2 linked regions of the Danio rerio genome follow. Each later gene encodes a partner of the first gene's protein in a complex. Links are inferred from orthologs where the notes say so. Each region holds a gene or a part of one and is shown in the gene's direction. Other genes may lie near its edges.

The links. Proteins that work in one complex are often made in the same cells at the same time.
Region 2: yeats2 (region 1) and mbip share a complex: the UniProt entries of both Homo sapiens proteins name them as parts of the ADA2A-containing complex. The link is inferred for Danio rerio from reciprocal best matches to the Homo sapiens genes YEATS2 and MBIP.

Annotation. Positions count from the first base shown.
Region 1 is NC_133177.1:47,775,875-47,786,071, forward strand, and holds part of yeats2 (YEATS domain-containing protein 2), read left to right. Parts: intron 1-262; coding exon 263-375; intron 376-2,344; coding exon 2,345-2,506; intron 2,507-4,717; coding exon 4,718-4,829; intron 4,830-5,321; coding exon 5,322-5,366; intron 5,367-6,452; coding exon 6,453-6,648; intron 6,649-7,297; coding exon 7,298-7,519; intron 7,520-10,197. UniProt on the Homo sapiens protein: Chromatin reader component of the ATAC complex, a complex with histone acetyltransferase activity on histones H3 and H4. YEATS2 specifically recognizes and binds histone H3 crotonylated at 'Lys-27' (H3K27cr).
Region 2 is NC_133192.1:40,160,368-40,171,055, forward strand, and holds the start of mbip (MAP3K12-binding inhibitory protein 1), read left to right. Parts: upstream 1-3,849; 5' UTR 3,850-3,861; coding exon 3,862-4,014; intron 4,015-4,521; coding exon 4,522-4,638; intron 4,639-6,045; coding exon 6,046-6,258; intron 6,259-7,796; coding exon 7,797-7,893; intron 7,894-10,688. UniProt on the Homo sapiens protein: Inhibits the MAP3K12 activity to induce the activation of the JNK/SAPK pathway. Component of the ATAC complex, a complex with histone acetyltransferase activity on histones H3 and H4.

The DNA of each region.
Region 1 (10,197 bases):
TTATGTGCATTTTTAAAATAATTATATTGATTCTTATTTGAATTTTGTGTAAAATTTGTAAATATTTTTTATATTTTTTCCTTGGATATTAAAATAGCTTTCTAAAATCCCAGTAGACATTCCTAAAATTCCTCTATATTTATTTCATATAATTGGAATAAGCTGATTTTATCCTATGTTCACATATACAGATTTTACAGCTGAAATGCTCAATGCATACTTGATTTGATAGTGACATTTATTATTATTTTCTCATTTATAGGACACATTTGGTGTGCCATCATCTATAGAGCAGCATGTTACTTATCACACTACAGGAGATGATGCTTCTCGACTCTACATGAAGAAAACCATTGTTGTCGGAAACGTATCCAAGTATGAGATCTTTACCTATTATATAGTATAGAGTATTTTATTGCTAATTCTATTTTTACTATTACTATAAAACTGACAACAATTTCATCAATTGTTTGTGGTGGAAAAGAGTTGCAGTTAAAAGGTTTTTAATGTTTTTGGTCTTCCTTTCTGAATAATACTGGTGTGGCCTTGAGTAAAGCTTTACTTGAGGAAGCTTTATACTTGGTTCTGCAATCCTTAAAGGGATGGTTTAGCCAAAAATGAACATTAGATCATTAAGATATTTTCATGGTACCCTAGACACTATGACTTTGGAATATGAAAAAGAGAGGTCTGGATTGACTTGATCACATATGCCATGCTCTTTAATTGTAGTCTATAAAAATGTATGGCATCAGACGACTTAAATTCAAAAAGAATTTCTTACTTTGGGCCTAGCACACCTGAAGTGGAAAAGTGTGATTGAGAACATTAAGAAAGAAGTGTTAAGGTGACTTATTGGTTAGTAAATAATAACAGAATATTCATTTTTGAATTAATCTTAAACCATTATATTTCCAACCATTTGTTATTTCCACAGGCTTTTATGAGGAGAAATATTTATTTCTCCGAGCTTGTATTCATTTTTAAATGTATCACTTTCTCTGGAAAGTCTCATTATTATTTCTCTGAAACCCAATAAACCTTCACATGGTGAAAAGCAAAGCTTTAGTTTCCCCTAGGCAGCAATCTAACCTCATTTATTCTGCATTATCACACAGTCCACGTCTACTTTACCTCATAAAATTCACTCAAGGCATGTGAGTGAGACACAAGTGTGTGTGTGTGTCTTTGTATGAGCAATGCTATAAGCTGACTTTTTTCCATGCAGAGCTACTAAAGATCTTTATGACACTGTTTACTCCTGGGCCATTGTGCTGAAAAAAAACATGAACTCAAGCTGTTTGTCTGAATAAAGCGTTTCTAAACAATTCCACATTGTACCATTATGTGTGAAGCAGATGATTTCCTTTCCCTAGAAACCTAAAATGAAGAGCACAAATCACATTACTGTGGCAGGTAGCTGAAAATATACGACACGCACTGAGTTGAAAAGAAATGTGCAAATAAGCTTAACTTTTATCTGTGCTGAAGGCAAAAATGCTACCATGCAGTTGCCTTTTGAATTTTGCAGTTTCAGTATTTAAATATGTTACTGAAGAGTTGGCTTTTATGACAGTTAATGGGTAGTTCATGCAATTTGTTTTCTTTCTGTTTCTAAAAAACAGATGCTGCGTCCCAATTCGCATACTATCCTTCCTAAATAGTATTTGAAAATACAATTAGTATGTCCCAAATCGTAGTATGTTGAAAAAAGTATGCCAAAGGTTCCCGGATGGTTTACTATTTCCGGTAAAAATTTTAAGTGCAGAACCGTCCATACTCTAATTGCTGATATTGTCCACAGTATTGGTGCATTGGACATGATTTCGATGAGAACTACTAACATGGATGAAAAGTGTAAATAAACTACATACATGGTGGACTTGCGAGACCAACCGTCAAGTAAAAAGCTTTGTTAAAGTTGTTTGAATGACTGTTAATTAATATCTAGCCCACTGGAAAATATTTAAATGGTGTTTTCTGTGTTATATTTCATCTGCAACAACAATACTGCGCTTATATAAAGATATGTTTGGAGATTACCATCTGAATGCATAATTATCCAAAGACCGGAGGAGATTTCTCTGCATGAAAGACCTAACCTGCCGCTGCTTCTCCAATAAGAGATAGGATGACATGGATGTTTGACAGGGCTCATAATTAAGCAACATAACGATCTGTTAACGAAAAAGTAGTATGTCCCAAAGCACACTCTTCTGTCACACACTCAAAAGTATATATTTTTCCCTCTCAAAAAAGTACATACTTTCGGGTGTAGTATAAGTATGCGAATTAGGACGCAGCAAGAGACCCGTTTTTGAGACTTTTTTTTTCTCTGTTCCAGGTATATTGCCCCTGATAAACGTGAGGAGAATGATCAGTCCACTCATAAGTGGATGGTGTACGTTCGAGGTTCTCGTAAGGAGCCCAGTATTGATCACTTTGTGAAGAAGGTCTGGTTTTTCCTGCACCCCAGCTACAAGCCCAATGACCTCGTGGAAGTCAGGTGTGTGTTTACATTCCACCCGATTCATCCATCTGCTTTGATTTCATCTCACTGTTCAGGCTTTTTTCAACATGACCATCTTTGGATAATTTGTAGTAATAGTTTGAACTTCATTAATTCAAATTGCACCTAACAACACTGAAGCTTTGTTTATATGTGATATTAACATATTATGGGGTCAGCTAAATTACATCACTGAATCATTGAATTTTTTTTAACCACATGAGCATTTTTATTATGAAAGCAACTCGATAAAATGTTTTACTACCTCTGGAATTTCAACAACCTTTCTAGACCAGGGCCTACCAACACTGGTCCTGGAGAGCTAGGCTGTTTCTCAATTCCAAGAACGCAGAGATAACGTACTAGCGTACTTGTGGAGTTCTTGTGGAGTTACCTCGTAAAAATGAACTTAGAGAACAGAGAATGCGTCCTGTGAGAAATGAGATGCTGCTTTCTTCCTGATGGTCACATGATCTTCACGCGTTTTTAATAGAACATTATTTAAAAATCTCAGCATTCATACAACGCTTTATTGTTTTTCCTTCTTTCACTATATGTACTATGCATAAAGACATTATAAATGTATGTTGCACAATACAAATAAAACAAATTTTAATATGAATTTCAGCAAATAAACACCCTTAATCTGTTCATGCCTTTATAAAGATTTTCATGGAAATGTTTACTTTCACCGTCTCATTTAGGGTAACTCCTGAGATAAATTAGTCACATCTCCGAACTTTAATATTAAATCTATATCAGATGCTGCACTCCCCACCTTCTTTATTCAGTCGAAATGCCTTCTGGGACTTCTCAAGCGAGTTTTGTGCTCAAGTCTGCATCGAGGTGTCCTCTATCAAGAACACATCCAGGAACTTTCACATGTCCTCTGCTCTTGCAGTCTTGAGTTTTGGAACTGAACTTTGGCTGTTGATGATGCTGTTACCCGAGAACACGAGGGCGCAAGATCGCTGAAGAATGCATATTGAGAAAGGGCAATACTTTCCTACAAATTTCAGTTGCAACTCTGACCAAACACACCCGTCTGTAATTATCAAGTGCTGCTTCAGGTTCTGTTTAAAGGTGCAGTAGGTGATCTGCCAAAATGCTAACCACTTAGCATATTATCTTTGGACAGCAGGGAGGGACTGGGATTCAAAGCCACACCCCCCGAAATCGCGAGCGTGCGCACCGCGTCACAACAGCAGACAGACAACACACTAGTTCATGTCATTCGCCAGTTAGTTAGTGTTTAGCCAGCGCCGTGCAGGAATTACATTTATTACTTAGCCACACTTGCATGCTATTTCAGAGCGAATATTCAGAGTAGCATGGTAAACAGTATAGGAAGGCTGTCATTGTTCAAAAATAAAAACCCTGTTTACACCCATGTTTAGCGTTGTGCACTGATGATCTGATTGACAAAAATGCATCTTAAAGGGTTAGTTTAATGAAAGTTATGTTATTAATTACTCACTCTTATGTTGTTTCAAAAGCACAAGACCTTCTATCCTCATAATAACTTTATTCATTTTCTTTTTGACTTAATCCTTTATTCCACTGCAGGCACATGGACATTTTTAAGGATGTTATTGGAGACTTTCTTAACAAATTGAGTCTATTACTGTCTATGGAGGATGATGGAGCTCTTAGATCTCATCCAAAATATTTTCAATTGTATTCCGAAGATGAACAAAGGTCTTGGGGGGGTTGGAATGACATGAGGGTTAGTAATGTGTAACAGACATTTAATTTTTTGGTGTAAACTAACCTTTTGATAACAGATATAAACAAGACTCAAGAGTCTTATTGTACACTCATGTTTGTAGTTGGTAGGATTTTTTAAATTCTTTTGTAATATGTTTAATATATTGATACAAGAAACGTTTCTTATCATTAAAAATGTTTAAAACGTTTGCAGCTTAATTTTATTGAAGAAACTACAACAAATTGTTAATAGAATATTTACAACAACTGTATTTATGTTGTAACAGGAATAAAATGCTTTTATTGTCACCTTTGAGTCTTAATAATTCTTGCTTTGCTTAAATATTCAACTAAAGTATTTCATTTAAAAAAATGACTCCAGTTTTAGCAAAGGTGCAATATTCTATTTTTAAGTTTTTATCAATACAGAACAGGCAGTGCCCTCTAGAGGAGGTGATTGTATCTCTAACTGTGGTGCATTTGTCAAATCTGTGTGTTTAGTGAGCCACCGTTTCACCTGACCCGTCGAGGGTGGGGAGAGTTTCCTGTCCGTGTGCAGATCCACTTTAAAGACCAACGGAACAAACGTATCGACATCATCCACCACTTAAAGGTCAGACACTTGCTGACCGCTTGCACGCACGCTGTCTTTGAACCCCTTTTGTTGCCCTTTTCGTCTTTCCTTTTCCCCCTCTTTCTTTTGCTTTGTACTTTCATCTGTGAGGAATTCAAGCAGTAGATGACTTGCATCCACCTCCATGTCTTTGATATTATTCACTGAGAGGATGTTTTGTTTCTGCGAATTGTGCAGAATAGAATATGTCTGTACGAATCCATTATTTTATACATGGTGTTTCTAATCTAAAGGTAAAAAAGGTGGATTTTTTTAAAGCAGTCTGTCTGTTTAGATTTCCTTTCTTCTTTTATCTCTTGTCACAGCAATCTCTTTTGTTCTTGGTAGAAAAAAAAAAGATTAAATAGAGGGGCATGAAGTGTGAAAAAAGAAACGTTTGTGGGTTGAAGTACTTCATCTGCCATCCACTGCAAATACTGTTGAATGTTTTTTGATGTCAGTGTTAATCTTCTTTTATTTCTTCTCCATCAGCTTGACCGAACATACACAGGTTTGCAGACTTTGGGAGCTGAAACGGTAAGATAAACACAAGCTGTACTCATAAGTTTATATGACCATTCTAATTTGTTTATATAGAACGTTTTTTTATTTTTAAATTCAAGATATGTTGAAAAATTATGAGGTGACGCAATGGCTCAGTGGTTAGCACTGTCGCCTCGCAGCAAGAAAGTTGCTGGTTTGAGTCCTGGTTGTCAGTTGTCAGTTTACTGTTGCCCCACAGTCCCAAGACATGCAGTATAGGTGAATTGAATAAACTAAATTGGCCATAGTGTATGTGTGTGAATGGGAGTATGGGTGTTTTCCAGTTCTGGGTTGCAGCTGGCAGGGCATCCGCTGTGTAATACATATGCTGAATAAGTTGGCGGTTCATTCCGCTGTGGCGATCCCTAATAAATAAAGGGACTAAGCTAAAGGAAGCTTTTTTTTCCCCTATATTCTGTACTACCCTGAAGAAACACAACTGTCACAAAAAGCTACAAACAGACGTTACTGCTCAAGTAGGCAACACACAATATTAATAACACTATATTAATGTTTTAATAACTGGATATTTTCTGTAACTTCATTTATTATTTTGTCTTGTGTAGTATAAAAATGATATTTCATGGTACATTTTTAATTCTAGGTTAAATTCTGGGTTAACACAGGAAATGTTTAACTTGTGCAATAAGCATGTGTAAATGAGCTTCTGTTAAAAATAGAAGCCAAGGTCTCGACTGTCAATATAGTAATGAAAATGTCAGTCTTCAAAATGATGGCGAGCACAAATCTGCAGTTTTGGTTAGTGCAAGTGTCAGTGAGGTAAATGAAAAGTATGAGTGAATGTGTCAGCTGAAGATTTATTGATGTTGTTCACTTTTAAGAAAATAAGAAATGGAATAAATCCTAGTTTCTAGGTTCTGACCTTGATATTACATTGTATTTCAACCAACTTTTCAGAATATACTGTATGCTCAAATATTTGTGAAGAAGGTTTCTTCAGTAAAAGTGCAGAGGTTTTATAGTTCTAAACTCCTTTTTTTGACATTGGTGTTTTATTTTTCAGATTTGTAATTTTTTTTAAATGCCATTTTTCAATTGCTTTGTCTTTTTCCTCTGAAGGTGGTGGATGTTCAGCTCTACAGGAACTCACTGGGTGATGACTTCATCCCCTCTGCCCCTTCATCATCCTCATCATCATCTTCTTATCCAGCATTCGTAGGCGGATCTGGCTCCTCCTCCTCAACTATCCATGGCTCTAGGAGAAACTCCTCTCCCTCTCATCCTGCTCATGATGATCAACACAGCTCAGAAAGAGGTAGACAGACTCGTGGTTGTCCATTTTACAGTGTCTACACAAAAGAATTTCACCTCTTAGATGTCCATTTATATGTATGCGAATGTTCTAGATCAGAAACGCAAGCTCGTGTGACAAGTTTTGCATGTCCAAAGTTCAAGCTTGGTGAACTCTGACCTCCCAAGTTTGCATTTTGTCATTGCGTGAGACCAATAGAAGATCAAAACTTGACCTCTCTGTACAGAAATGTGAAATATGATGGAGCAGTCACTGTTTTTATCAGTGCTTCATCATCTTGTTTTATCCCTCTCCTTTTTATCTCTCGATTTAAAAACATCCTGTATAAGATAATAAATTCAAACAGACATATTCTATTATGTACATAAACATGGTGAATGACTGTCGTGTACTACTTGCTCAAATTAATGTGGCCACAGCTTTTATATATTTACCCACTTGCTCTATCCTTTTTATAAAGAGAGGATTAGTAGGATATTTGCACTTTATTGCATGAGAAGTGGAAGCTGTGATTTAATCGTCTGTTTATTATTCTTTGCCTGCACAAATAAATTATGTGCCAATGCTTTTTGTGCTTGTGACAACTTAAACTGTCTCCAAATTATACTTCTTAAAGAATCGTTTTTTTCTCATTCATTTATTTCTTCCCCAGGTGTCACTGTCAAAAGTGAGTCAGTGCGTCCTTCATGTTTGGAACAAACTTCACAGTCAAACAGGTCTGAAAAAATTACACTTGGTTCCCACGGAAACTCTGCATTTCAACCAATTACATCCAGCTGTAAGATCATTCCACAGGGGCAAGTGCCCAGCGCTGCCGAGTCACCAGGGAAATCATCATTCCAGCCGATCACGATGAGCTGCAAGATCGTGTCTGGTGAGTCTCATAGGGAGGAGAAGAGCAGAGTTGAAATGCAAGCAGTAAAATCCACTGTATACATTCTCTTTCATGTTGCTCCACTTTTTTTCTGCTGGTGATTTCGATTTTTGTAGAGAAAAGGAGACCATCTGAAAGTTGAGAAACTCCTCTGTAATGCATTATAGATTTGCTGTCAATGTGTGACAGCAGATCCAAGAGGAGCTCAGCCTGATGTGTCCTAGTCTTGCCTTGCCTTGCCAGACCTATATTTTATGAAGTGTGGTCCTCATCTTATGGTATTTTAAACCAGGAAACAACAGTTTGCCACAATTCTTAACACTCACATATGTTTGTTGGGTTTTGTTCTCCAATGGAAGTCAAATGACATTTTCTGATTGGTCTTGAAGCAGCTGTTCTTCCTAATTCACCATGGTAAAATGAATGAATAATGGATGTTTTAATATGTCTGCTCAAAACACAAACTGTGTGTCAGAAAGGTTAGGCCTTAAGTACTGTTGGGGATGTTTCCATCCACTCTGGGGTGATTTGGGTAAGAACTGCTATAAAAATTCATCAGATTAAAAAAAAAAATAAATAAATATATATATATATATATATATATATATATATATATATATATATATATATATATATATATATATATATATATATATATAGATAATTTTATTTTATTTTTTGCGTAAATCTGTTAATCAACCTCAGTCCTGATCAAAACTACTAAATTGCTTAGAAAATTGCATGATTTAACTCTTTAATTGCCAAATTAATAAATGATGTCACTGATTTGGTATAAAAAAAAAAGCACAAAATTATGTATTTTTATTATAAAAAGTAATTGTAGATTGAATTTTTTTTAACCTTTTATCAAAGTATTGGATATGTGAACGATTAGTAACAACATTGGCTTTGATGCATTGTTTTTGATTAAATGAAAATTTTCTCCCTAATTTACAGTTGGTGGCTGATTTTTCTCCATTGACTTTCATTATAACCACATTTTTTTGATTGCAAAACCATGCCACCATATGTGCTTCTCAAATCGCATACTTACACTATTTATACCACAAAATCACATAGGATAGTGCAAGTAGTGTATTCATACTTAAAACTGAAAATAATGTTCACTTTAATTACCCGGTTGACACTCGTTTAACCAGTAAAATGAAATGTGGAATGTTGGACACTTTATGCACTCAATGAACACAGCTTTAATCACGTAGCGGAAGGGGCAGAACTATAGGGCACTCATGTTAAATAACTTTATTTATTTTGGATAGTGAAAGCAAAATTCTACTAGCAGAGTGATTATAGCGCCTCCCGATGGTAAGTGCGGTTATACTCATTTATTTCATTAATTTGACAACCGTCAAACGTCATCAGGGAAGCGATTTGAATTTCCACTTAGTAAAAAAACATTATTGTTTTATTTGTGATGACACTATATACATATACTATTCTGTTGAGTGTGTAAGTGCATAAGTACATAATGCATAAGTGTACAGGGTGCCATGATTTGGCACGCAGCTCATATGATCATGCATTTTTGATTGTTGGGGGTTTTCCCTGTTGGCAAGAGATAAAATTTGTAATTTTTACTGTTGATCATCAGTTGGCAGCATTAACCCTTTTCATAGGCCTATGCAAAAAAAGCTTAGTTTCTGAATTTTATATGAAGTATAACAGCAAATTAAAGTGTGTCTGTGAGTGTGTTAGTGACCTTTGTGCACTTTTGTTTGAGAAAATCAAAATATGCATCTCAGCTCCCAGAACTACATGGAGTAAACGAAAAAAAATGTATGCACCATCAAATGTGGTTAAAATGTAAGTCAATGAGGCAAAACAGCCACCAACAGTAAATTAGGGAGAAAAAATGAAAATCTAACAATGCATCAAAACCAATGTTGTTGTCATTCACAGACTGTCCAAGGGAAAAAAATCCAGTCCAAATTACTTGTTATATTGAAAATATGTCATTTTGTGCGTGTTTTTTTCACCCAATCAGAGACATCATTTGTGAACTTGGCAATTAAAGAAATAAAATTGTGTAATTTAAAAAAAAACATTTAGTAGTTTTGATCAGGACTGAGGTTGATTCACAGATTTATGCAAAACAAATTTGAAAAAAATATTTATCTGATGCATTTTTACAGCAGTTTAATACAGTGGATGTTTTCATCCCGAACATAATAAAAGGGTAGAACATTTGAACAGTGCACAAGGGTAATGTAAGTTGTCTATACAAATTAAAAATACAAATATAGTGTTTAATAAATGTTAAAAATAAAATAGAAGGTAAATATTGGTAACATATTCAAATTTTAGGGCGGTTTGCCCTCCATAATAACTAGGCATGGGCTGGTTTAAGATTCTGACTGTATGATAAACTTGGATAAAAATATCACAAAATTGTGCTCACTGCTCTAAAATATATTCTTTTTAAATGTCTAGGTAAAAAAACAACAAAAGAATTCCCCTTTGAAAACAATATATTCTATTTTTTGAAAGATTTATGATATTTTGGAGCAGTAAACACGTCAGGCTAATTAATTCAAATGAATCATTGACTTCTGCTGTCTTCATTAGTTTCAAAAACACAGATTTCTTTACAATTTAAAACGGCATCTTTGGATATTTTTTTCTGCAGGAGATACTGTTTTCCTGAAAAAAAAAAAAAA
Region 2 (10,688 bases), on another chromosome or scaffold:
CTCAGAGTTTTCGGTTTCAGAATAGCGGATCTAAATTAGGTCAATCAACTTTTAGAAGACCAACTCAGAGTTAAGCGCGCACACTGACTATTAAAAGGCATTATCAATGGAGCGCAGATATTACGAGTGACAATGGCAACATCTTTAAAAAAGAGATCACCATTTCTTTCTCCAGCTGAACTTGAAGTGATCATGCAACGTTATAGCAAATGAGTGTATATATTTTTAAAACGAAGCAACCATCAGTGAAACAGAGACAGTTAGCCTGGGAAAACAGCTGCTCAAGTTAATGCGTAATTTTACATTTAAAATATTTAAATATTTAAGTATACTAAAATAAGTAATTTAATGTGTGATGTTTATACATTTTTTACTTTTTTACTTTTATACACGTTTATCCGTTTTAATAGATTTAACAGTGCACTTGTGTGTCTGCCTTTTTTTCTTGATCAAGTGATAGAGTTTGATATAACATTTAGAAGGTAAGCAGTACCAAAAATAATTTTTAGAAAGAATAATAATTCCATTAATCTAGTTACAGTACATGTCGAAGGTCAATTAATTTAAGCTAATTATTTATTGTTCTGTGTGCGACTAAAAGGTAGGCAATATCTATGTTTTGATCCAAATATATTACATAAATGTATGTGCAAAACTGGAATATTTTATAAAAGATGCGAATAAAGCAGCGTTGCGATCCAATGAGTCAAAGAAAACAAAATCGTCACTTCCTGATTAACTGGCGCTAAATATCAACAGTAAAATCAGAATTTACTGTGGTAGAAGAAGCTGCGTCAATTATTTATTTAATAAATGTACTTGCGTCTCAGAAGACAATGAACACGTGGGGTGTTTGAAGTCATGAAACGCGAAGACTCTTGACACGCTCTAGATGCTCAGATGTAATAATATACACTAATACTTAAACAGTTAAGCCATTTTAGAATGACTAAAACAACATTTAAGGCGTGCTACAGTGTGCTCAGCCTGCTGGTTTGTCCATTCACACACATTTTCATCATCATATAAAAGACCTTTTTTTAATGTACATACTGTAATTTGTTCAGCAAAAGTGTTTCCATCGTAGTTTATGCACATATTTTCTATCGAATAAGTTAATCCTGCTCAATTATGCATGTTTTTTATGCATATTATTAAAAGTTAAGTGCATCATGATGTTTCCATCAATCGTTTTTTATGCACATATCCAAAATGAGCATTAAAATAGGTGGGTGGAAACGAAAGGCTAAGGCGAGAAATACCGCTTCGTCTTTAAAAAAGTGGAGGAGACCGACAGAAACTCTGAGTTTAGAAAATAAAACCTGCTCCTGACCAGGTTAGGTTCACAGAGTAAGTTACCACAGTAACTGACTCTGAGTAAAAGTTACCTCTCTTTTAGAAACAGGCTTGACTTACCCTGCTTTCTCAAGTTTAACAAACCTGCCATTTTGAAACAGAAAACCCCAGAGTTTCTCTCATTTCAGGGTTAAAATACTCTGAGTTTTACTTAACCTCCTTTCTGAAACAGGCCCCAGGTGCCAACTAATTAAAAACGCAGAAACTGTGCACAATTTCACTGCATGTGTTTGCTTTCTGGACAGTCTTTCACTGACACTTACAGCAGAAGCCATATTTCTCTGCGATTTAGGGAATGAAAGTGAACTCCATTTCTCTCTCTCTCTGTGGCCCATTTCACCTGCTGGCGTGACTTTTCCTCTCGGCTGCTGGTGTGACTTTTCCTTCCCTCTCTTTTCCTCTCGGCTGTTACAACGATACTTCTGGATATAAGTCTGCATTCCCGTGGCTGTACCTGTACACTGTCGCGAGACCAAAAAAAAATTTATTTCCAAATAAAGCGCGGGAGCGGTCTGTAACTCTGGTGTAATTTGAACAGGAGTGGGCGGTCTCACAATATCGCTCCCGAGCGAGCAAGCGAGCAAGCAAGCAAGTGCACGTGTGTGTGTGTGTGTGTTTATTTGATTGGTGCTGTCTATGTTTGTGTGTGTATGTGTGAGAGACAGTGTAATGCTATGTGTCTATGTGTGTTTTTAAACAGACAGCTTGTTATAGCCCCCGCCAAAAAATATAACACTGTGTATGGAAAGCATCATCAATGCACCAAGATACCGAATTGAACCAAATCGATGGCATGATAATCGTAACCGAACCAAACCATGAGACCAGTATAGGTTCACACCTCTAATCAATAATATCGATTTTTATTTACTTTAACGACAAAATGTCAGTAAATAGCGCTATTCTGCCTAGCCTGCTTTACTGAGCTGAAGTTGGTTTTATATTCACATCACATTGGTTCATTTTTGAACAATGAAAACCTGTGAAGCGCCCTCTATATTGTTTACCCTTCTACTCTGAATATTCAGTCTGAAACAGCATGTAAATGTGACTTACTAATAAATGTAATTCCTGCACATCGCTGACCAATCACTAAGCACACAGGTGTCGATTTAGGACAAAACGCGTAAGAGAGAGTAAGGCCAGCGATCCTTGCATGTATGAAATATTGAACATTATGAAGTTTTGCTTGCAACACTGAAAACATGCTAGATATAAAGCAGTTTTTCATTGGGAATTTTAGTATTATAAAGTACTATAAACTTTTCTAACTGGTGAATGACATGATCTAGTGGGTCTCTGTCATCTTTAATGTGCGTGTTTGTGATAACAGGAGGCGTGGTTTTGGCCAGCAGTGGAGAGATTGAATTTAAAAAATATTATGCTAGCCGGTTATCATTTAGGCTGATCCCCTAATGCACATTTAATATACACTGCCTGAATTAATGTCCACAAACCAGGATTGAGGAGTCTTTTATATTATTGTACTGACATGCTGTTGTGGTGATAAAGACGGCATAATCTCTGTAATTCATTACAAACATGCACTGTTTTAAAAACTTTTTAAACTTGTAAAACTCACTCTCGATCACATTTGATGATGACTGATGATCACAGAAAGCTGAACAGATCTTTTAATCCCAGTTGCTTTGCACACTTTGTGCCTTGTTGATATGATTATGCGTATTACTACTAATACATGTTAGTACGCGGCTGTCAATCAATTCGGTGGACAGGGAAACCGCCCTCCTATGTCACGATGCGGTGGGCCTCAAAATAGGAGGGATTTAAATCCTATTTTAACATTAAGAAATTTTTTAAAAAGAGACCTATTGTCTTTATATCACCTTAATATGACTGTGGACACACACTATACCTATACACAGTTCTGTCCAAACAGATTAGAAAATATTATTTTCATCATAGGTGCCCTTTAAAATTATATTTTATGCAGATATGCTCCACTACACAATAACTCAATTTTAGCAAGCTATTCATCTGGTGAAATTGCATTTATATCGCAATATATATCACAGTGAATGAAAATATTGCAATGTCAGTTTTTTCCAATATCATTTAGGCATACATTTTTTATTTACAGGCCTTTACCTTTAACGTTACACAACCTTTTGAACCCTATTTGTTTGTCTGGGTGTGTGTATTTTTAAATAGCTTTTTAAAGAATGACATGAAATGATCAGGTAAATGCATTACCCTTGGCATATACATAAAAACCCGTTTCATTTTAGTCATATTGATAAATTGTAATGTTAAATGCGATTTAAAAACACAAAAGGGTGAAACAGAAGATTGTTTTGTGACGGACAAAATAATAAACATTAAACACGGTCAATGTCAATATTTAAACTATCGAAATAAAGTAATTTACCTTCGTTTATATTTGCAGTAGTCAATTTTAAATGCTCGTTATTTTGCTAGCGGAAGTGAGGTCATGTTATGCAGGAGACCGTTGGTCCAATCAGCGCAGCAGCCGGGAGCGGAAGAATGATGGCGGCGGACGGCGAAAGACGCGGTGCGTGTGCTGCAAGTAAACAAGAGCAAAGCAGAAGCCAGATTTCACTTCATGCAAGACAAAGGGATGCTTTCAGAGACTGCGTTGCCTCTATTGTCGACTCCCTCGCTGAGCTTGGAGTAAAGGTTTGTTTAAAAGCAAATTCTGCCACGGTGTCACTGTTTGGGATAGAGCTCTTAACAGTCATATTTGTAACGTTATTTCATTTGAGATGCCAAAAGCTAAATATGTAACGTTAAATTATGGAACTTTTCCGAAGTAACAAGATCACCCATGTCGTAAAATTATATGATTTGTCCGCGCTAATATGATTTGTTTCAATCACTTAGATAATTTGTCTGTACTTGTCTGCAATAAGTTGTAATATGCAATATTTCCACTGTCACTGCTGAAATAATCAGCCTGTCCTGGAGTTTTTATAATGGTCTCATATGTTTCTTTTCTGGATTTTTATTCAATTTTTAGCTGGTTTTACTCCCTGCCTCCCCAGCTGACAAGTGCCTAAAATCTTACTACTCATTTAACAAACCATATTGACCAGCGAAATAAACCACCTAGTCTGTTTTAGGCATCTTTTCTGCATTGACAATTTAGAAACCACAACAACAACAAAAAACTGTCTTATTTTCCAGTTAAAAATAGATGATAACGCATTGAAAATCAGTGCCAATGTCAACAATGTGAACATCTGTGAGCTTCAGCCATCTCATGTGCACTCCTGTTTACAACAGCACATCTCCAAACTACAGGTAAACAGAGTCATGTGCATTATAACATTTACTAACACACATAGCTGATTTTTTAAGTATAAAGATATCTTCTGAACCTTTAAATAGATCTTGTAAGTGAATTTTGTTTGCCATTTATTTGTTTACTTATCTGTAATGAACCTTATCCAGAGAATTGGTGAACATTTGTTTCCACAATGGAATAAAAAATTAAACCCATTATGTCACAATTGTAATTCAGAGAATATCATCAGTATTGCCAGAAGGAAACATGATATATTATTGGTGGAAAAGTCAGAATTTTATAATGCTATTTAATATTTTATCTTGCATTTTGACTTTTTATGTTAGAATAGGGACTTTATTGCCCACAAATCTTCATTTGTATCTCACATTTTTGATAAAACGTTTAAATTACAAGATATAAATTATTATAAACGAAGTCAAAACCATTTGAAACCCTGAGATGCAGAGTAACAATACTGAAAATAGTCAGAATTACGAGATAATGTTCATCATTTTCAGTTGCAAGTATCAAATCACAATGCGTTGAAGAAAAGTCACAGTTATCCTTACTTATTTGTTTTTTCTTTGGTGGAAACAAGCTTTTGCTGCAATGTTTTTATTTTATGAAATTAAGGCTTTGAGGGATAGAAAGTAAGTGCACTCTTTTAGTTGATCATTAAAATATATAAAATACATAGTACTGACTCATGTTTATTTATAATTAATCACATCCAAATTCAAAGCTTGTGTGTGTGTGTGTGTGTGTGTGTTTGTGTGTATGCATGTATGTATGTAAGTGTGTGTGTGTGTTTGTGTTCGCGTGTGTGTGTGTGTGTGTGTGTGTGTGTGTGTGTATATATATATATATATATATATATATATATATATATATATATATATATATATATAAATATATATATATATAAATATGCTATTTATTAAATTTTTTTGAGAAAATGTTTATTTACATTTACATATAAAATATATATAATATTTTTTATTGTAAAATTAAGTTTTATGTATATGTGTGTTTTAAATATGCATACTACACACACACATATATATTATGTTACAACGTATTTATATTTTGGTCACGGTTTACTACGATTAATCGTTGCCCTGCACTATTAAATTCATATTATGCAAGTGGAATAATGTTGTTTCCTGAATAATGTTCTTAAAATGTAAATATGTTCAGTGTTTTTTGCAAAACAAAAACTGACAGGGCAAAATGAATCCTTTGTCCTTCAAGATGGTTCTCTGATTAGCTTATCAGCGTTTTTTTTTTTTTTAAATGTATATGACCAGCATTACTGCACATTATCTTCTGACTCCTTGCTAAGACACAGTTTATCATTATAAAGACACTGTAAGACTGTCTTTTACCACATTGTTTTTTTTTTATTAACCTTCTGCTTCTAGTCGGTCTCTGAGAGTTTGAAGCAGATAGTGGAGTCTGAGGCAAATAACTGTACAAGTTCCAACCCAGACATCGGTGAAAGGAAAGAAACTGCACATACATCTGAGCAGATGTTTACTGATGATCCTCTTACATCTGACCACTGTGCTGCCCTTGAGGATCGAAACAGGACTCAAATCGATGATAACGTGCAGATCAAGGCTGCTAAATCAGAGGTAAATTTATCACTTCAAAATGTAGGCATATTTTACACAAATCACAGTTGTATTTATTGGAATATTTAAACAAGTAAGTGATCATATGAATATTTACAAATTGGGGTAAAACGTAGTGGTTTTGAAGGATAGTTGCAAAATATAAAGATTAAAAATGACAATTAATGACAATTTTTTATTATTATTATTATTATTATTTTTTTTTGGAGCATCCGTTATGTAGTGTTTTTATATGTCATCAAATGATTCCTATTCGAAATATGTTTGGCACCGATGACGTAGTGGTTAGTGCATCAACAAATGCACTCACGGCGGTGATCACGGCGACCTGAGTTCGATTTCCACCTTGAGGTCCAATGCCGACCCTTCCTCTTTCTCTCTGCTCCCCATGCTTTCTTGGTAATAGTCTCTACTGTCCTGTTTGTTGATAGTAAAAACTCTGAAAAAATTATTATTAAAAAAAGAAATATGTCTGGCAAAGTTGTTTTGATACATAAACCATTGTTTCAGTGAATTAAATTTTAGTGTGCATCTTCTAAAAATCTTAATAAAATGTGCTTTACATTATTTTAATAACGCATTTTAATTAAGAAAAATATTACCCTTTTATTTTCTAATCAAATCAAATCTAACCAAATAATTTTGTCATAATATTATAAAACATATATATATATATATATATATATATATATATATATATATATATATATATATATATATATATATATATATATATATATATATATTTTTTTTTTTTTTTTTTAATATATATATATATATATATATATATATATATATATATATAGTTTAAATCAAAATGTCAAATGTAAAATCTTTTTTCATCCAAGAGCTATTTTCAGTTTTAATGCAGTAAGTCATAAGTACATTGCTACGTATTAAGATAATTTATTTAGTTGAATAGTTTATTGTTTTCATTTTTATTTACCAATGATTATTGTTAGTCTGAACATTTATTTTTGTGTGTTAAAGCAATCTCTTCTCCCAAAACACAATTAAAGTCAATTGCTTGACAGTCAGAATGTATTATTTGCATGTAATCTGCCCCAGTTGGTCAGTCATATGCAGTGTGAATTGCCATCTGTGGACAGACAGTTGAGAATGAATGAAAGGCTCCTTCACCACTTTTCCTTCAGAAAGAAACAAATAGCCACCCACTTTGAGAGTCCTGAGAGAGGTCCTGGTCCTTGCAACGTTATGAAGTGGATGTTCATTACACGCTGAAATTGCATGTGGGCGAAGGACAAGGAGGCCCTCATTTTTATTGCTTATTTATTTACAGTCACTGTAATAAAAGGCCCAAGCAAATCACAACTATCTGAAACGGTTACGTGTGAGAAATATTTTGATTTTTGGAATAATTGTGTCCACCCTGGTCACTTGTTAGTCATGCAGCCCGTACGGCCTAGCGGTCCTCATTATAACTAAACAGCAAAAAAGAAGACAGTGAATTGATTTTTTTGTTCTTCAATAGCTCATCAGCCTGACCCTCATTGCTCTCTCTCTCCTCATTTTCTCAGATTGAACGTAGGATATCTGCATTTATAGAGCGCAAACAGCTGGAGATCAATGAAAACAATGTGAGGGAGTTTTGCAACGTGATCGACTGCAATCAGGGTGAGAATGGGAGGGTATGGGCGGCAGGGGGGTGGTCAAAGGTATACTGCACAACAATTGCCAATGTTTGTAAGAGTGCTGATTTTCACTGACGTGAGGTCAGAATTCAACTGTCATTTTCACAGAAAATTCTACAAATAAAATCTATTATTGTTAGTGCTGTCAAACGGTTAACTATATAAATAATCCAAAATAAAAGTTTGTATTTACATAACATTCATGGCAGTTTTTCTGAGGCTTTTTAAATGTTAAATTCATATCAACATTATATCTTCATTTATTTATTTTATTTTCAGCTTAGTCCCTTTATTAAACAGTGGTCGCCACATCAGAATGAATATATATATGTATATACACACACACACACACACACAAACACACACACACACACACACACACACTTAAACAAGGCATTTACGCCCATAGAACTTGCACTCACTGGATGTTTCCTTTTTCAGACCAAGTAGTAACATATCAGAAAACCCTTTAAATCAGCAGCTTTCTATCCTGATCCTGGGAATCCACATTTGTACTGAGCATCTTATACACACTCAGTACAGCAACTACACCCATTCTTGTCTACAATATTATTTAGAAAAACTGTTTTGATCCACTTCAAACGTTGACAATTATATATACATATAAGCCATTTTCACCTATATAACTTGCACTAACTGGATGTTTTTTTTTTCAACCACTCTCTGTAAACCATAGAGACTGTAGGGCTTGAAAATTCCAGTAGATCAACAATTTCTGAAACACTCAACCATATTCAGAGTCCCTTACCCAAAACAGAATATTCTGTAATAATTTACTCACCCTTCACTTGATCCAAACCTGCTTCTGTTGAACGCAAAGATATTTTGAAGAAAGCTGGAAACTCATAGCCAATGACTATGGCCAGACAGAATCTGCGGACAATTTTTGCTATTTCTGCGGAGAATTTTGTAAAAAAAAAAAAAAAATGTGTGGATTTATGTAGTATTATTTTAAGAATATCATTACTAATAACTTATTAAATGAAATACAAAATAATAGTTTTGTAACTTTTATTTAGGGTTTACAGTGCAAATCCATCTACATCCATTTATTTGGTAAACAAACCAAGTCTATCATATAATGTATCTACTAAAAGACAAAACAAATATTACTTTACAAACTGTATTGTAAACAACAGTCAATGTAGTCAATATTATTGCTGAAATGAATTTAAAAACTGATAAATATGAATTTACACGAGTACATAAATAGACTCAATGATGGGCCAAAAATCTGCGGATATCTGCACACCCAGATTCCTTATGAGCCTACTAATGACTTACAAGATATATTTTTCCTACTTTGGATGTCAACAGCAACTGTTTTTCAAAATATCTTTTTTTTTTGTGGGTGTGTTCAACCGAATAAAGAAACTCTTGTTTCTGTGAACAATCTCTTTAAATCAGGGGCTGATCAGTCCTGATTCTGGGGACCTACTGCTCTGCACATTTGTACAGATCATCTTATACACAGTCAGTACAGTTCTTAAACCTAATATAATGAGCTGATGGGATAATAATAAGGGATGAATAAAATGCGCAGAGTGGTGAATGTCCAAGACCAGGATTGAAATCGCTGATTTAAAGTGTGTGTCTTCCTCATTCTGATCCTCTGTTTGATCTTCAGCAGATCGTCTTGACCACACCTGCATGGCTATATGCATTTAGTTGCTGACATGTAATTGGCTAATTAGGTATTTGCATTAACAAGCAGCTGGAGAGGTGTACAGAATAAAGTGGCTGTTTAGAGTATGGCTGTGTTCCACTTCACTAGACACGTACAGGCAAATTCATGAGGAATTAGGAGTCCTCGCCTTAATTTTAATGCGCATTCCACTTTGTCAATAAGGACAAGGGAGGTTTACATGGACACACTCTTGACTCCTCGATTTTATACGAGGGTTCGAGTCTGCTTCAAGTGTACACTCCAGTACCTGTATATCCCACAATGCAATGCGAATGTCATCTCAATAGTGACTTGCATTCACAGTGTATATTAATTACCAAGTGTTCAAGGGTTTAGGGAACTCCATATTAACCCTTTCAGGTACTCTACCAGTTGTGGACACCTGTGTAACATAACCGATGACATACATCTATGTAAATGATATGGAGGAAAGTTAGAAAGTTAAGGGCATAATTTGGACTGGAATGCACCATATGTGTCGTTATGTTTGGTAATTTCACGTAATTCATGTGCTTTAGAATTCCATTAGGAACATAGCGAGCATTGATGCTGTCTGATTTGCATGGAGCATTGTGGGACATTTTAGGGAGGAAATGTTTTAGTGCACTGGAAGAATTTTTATTTATTTTTAATTTTTTTTTGTGGTTGAGACAGCTTCTTATACTGGCTAAATTCCTAACCAGTGCCCTGACTGCTAAACAAGTGGCGCAGGAGGTAGTGCTGTCTCTTCACAGCAAGAAAGTCGCTGGTTCGAACCTCGGCTCAGTTGCCATTTCTGTCTGAAGTTTGCATGTTCTCCCTGCGTTCGCGTGGGTTTCCTCTGGGTGCTCCGGTTTCCCCCACAGTATAAAGACATGCAGTACAGGTTAATTGGGTAGGCTAAATTGTCTGTTGTGTGTGTGTAAATGTGTGTGTGTGTGTGTGTGTTTTCCAGAGATGGGTTGCGGCTGGAAGGACATCCGCTGCGTAAATAAACTAGCTGGATAAGTTAGTGGTTCATTCCGCTGTGGCGATCCCGGATTAATAAAGGGACTAAGCCGACAAGAAAATGAAAGAATGAATATTACTGT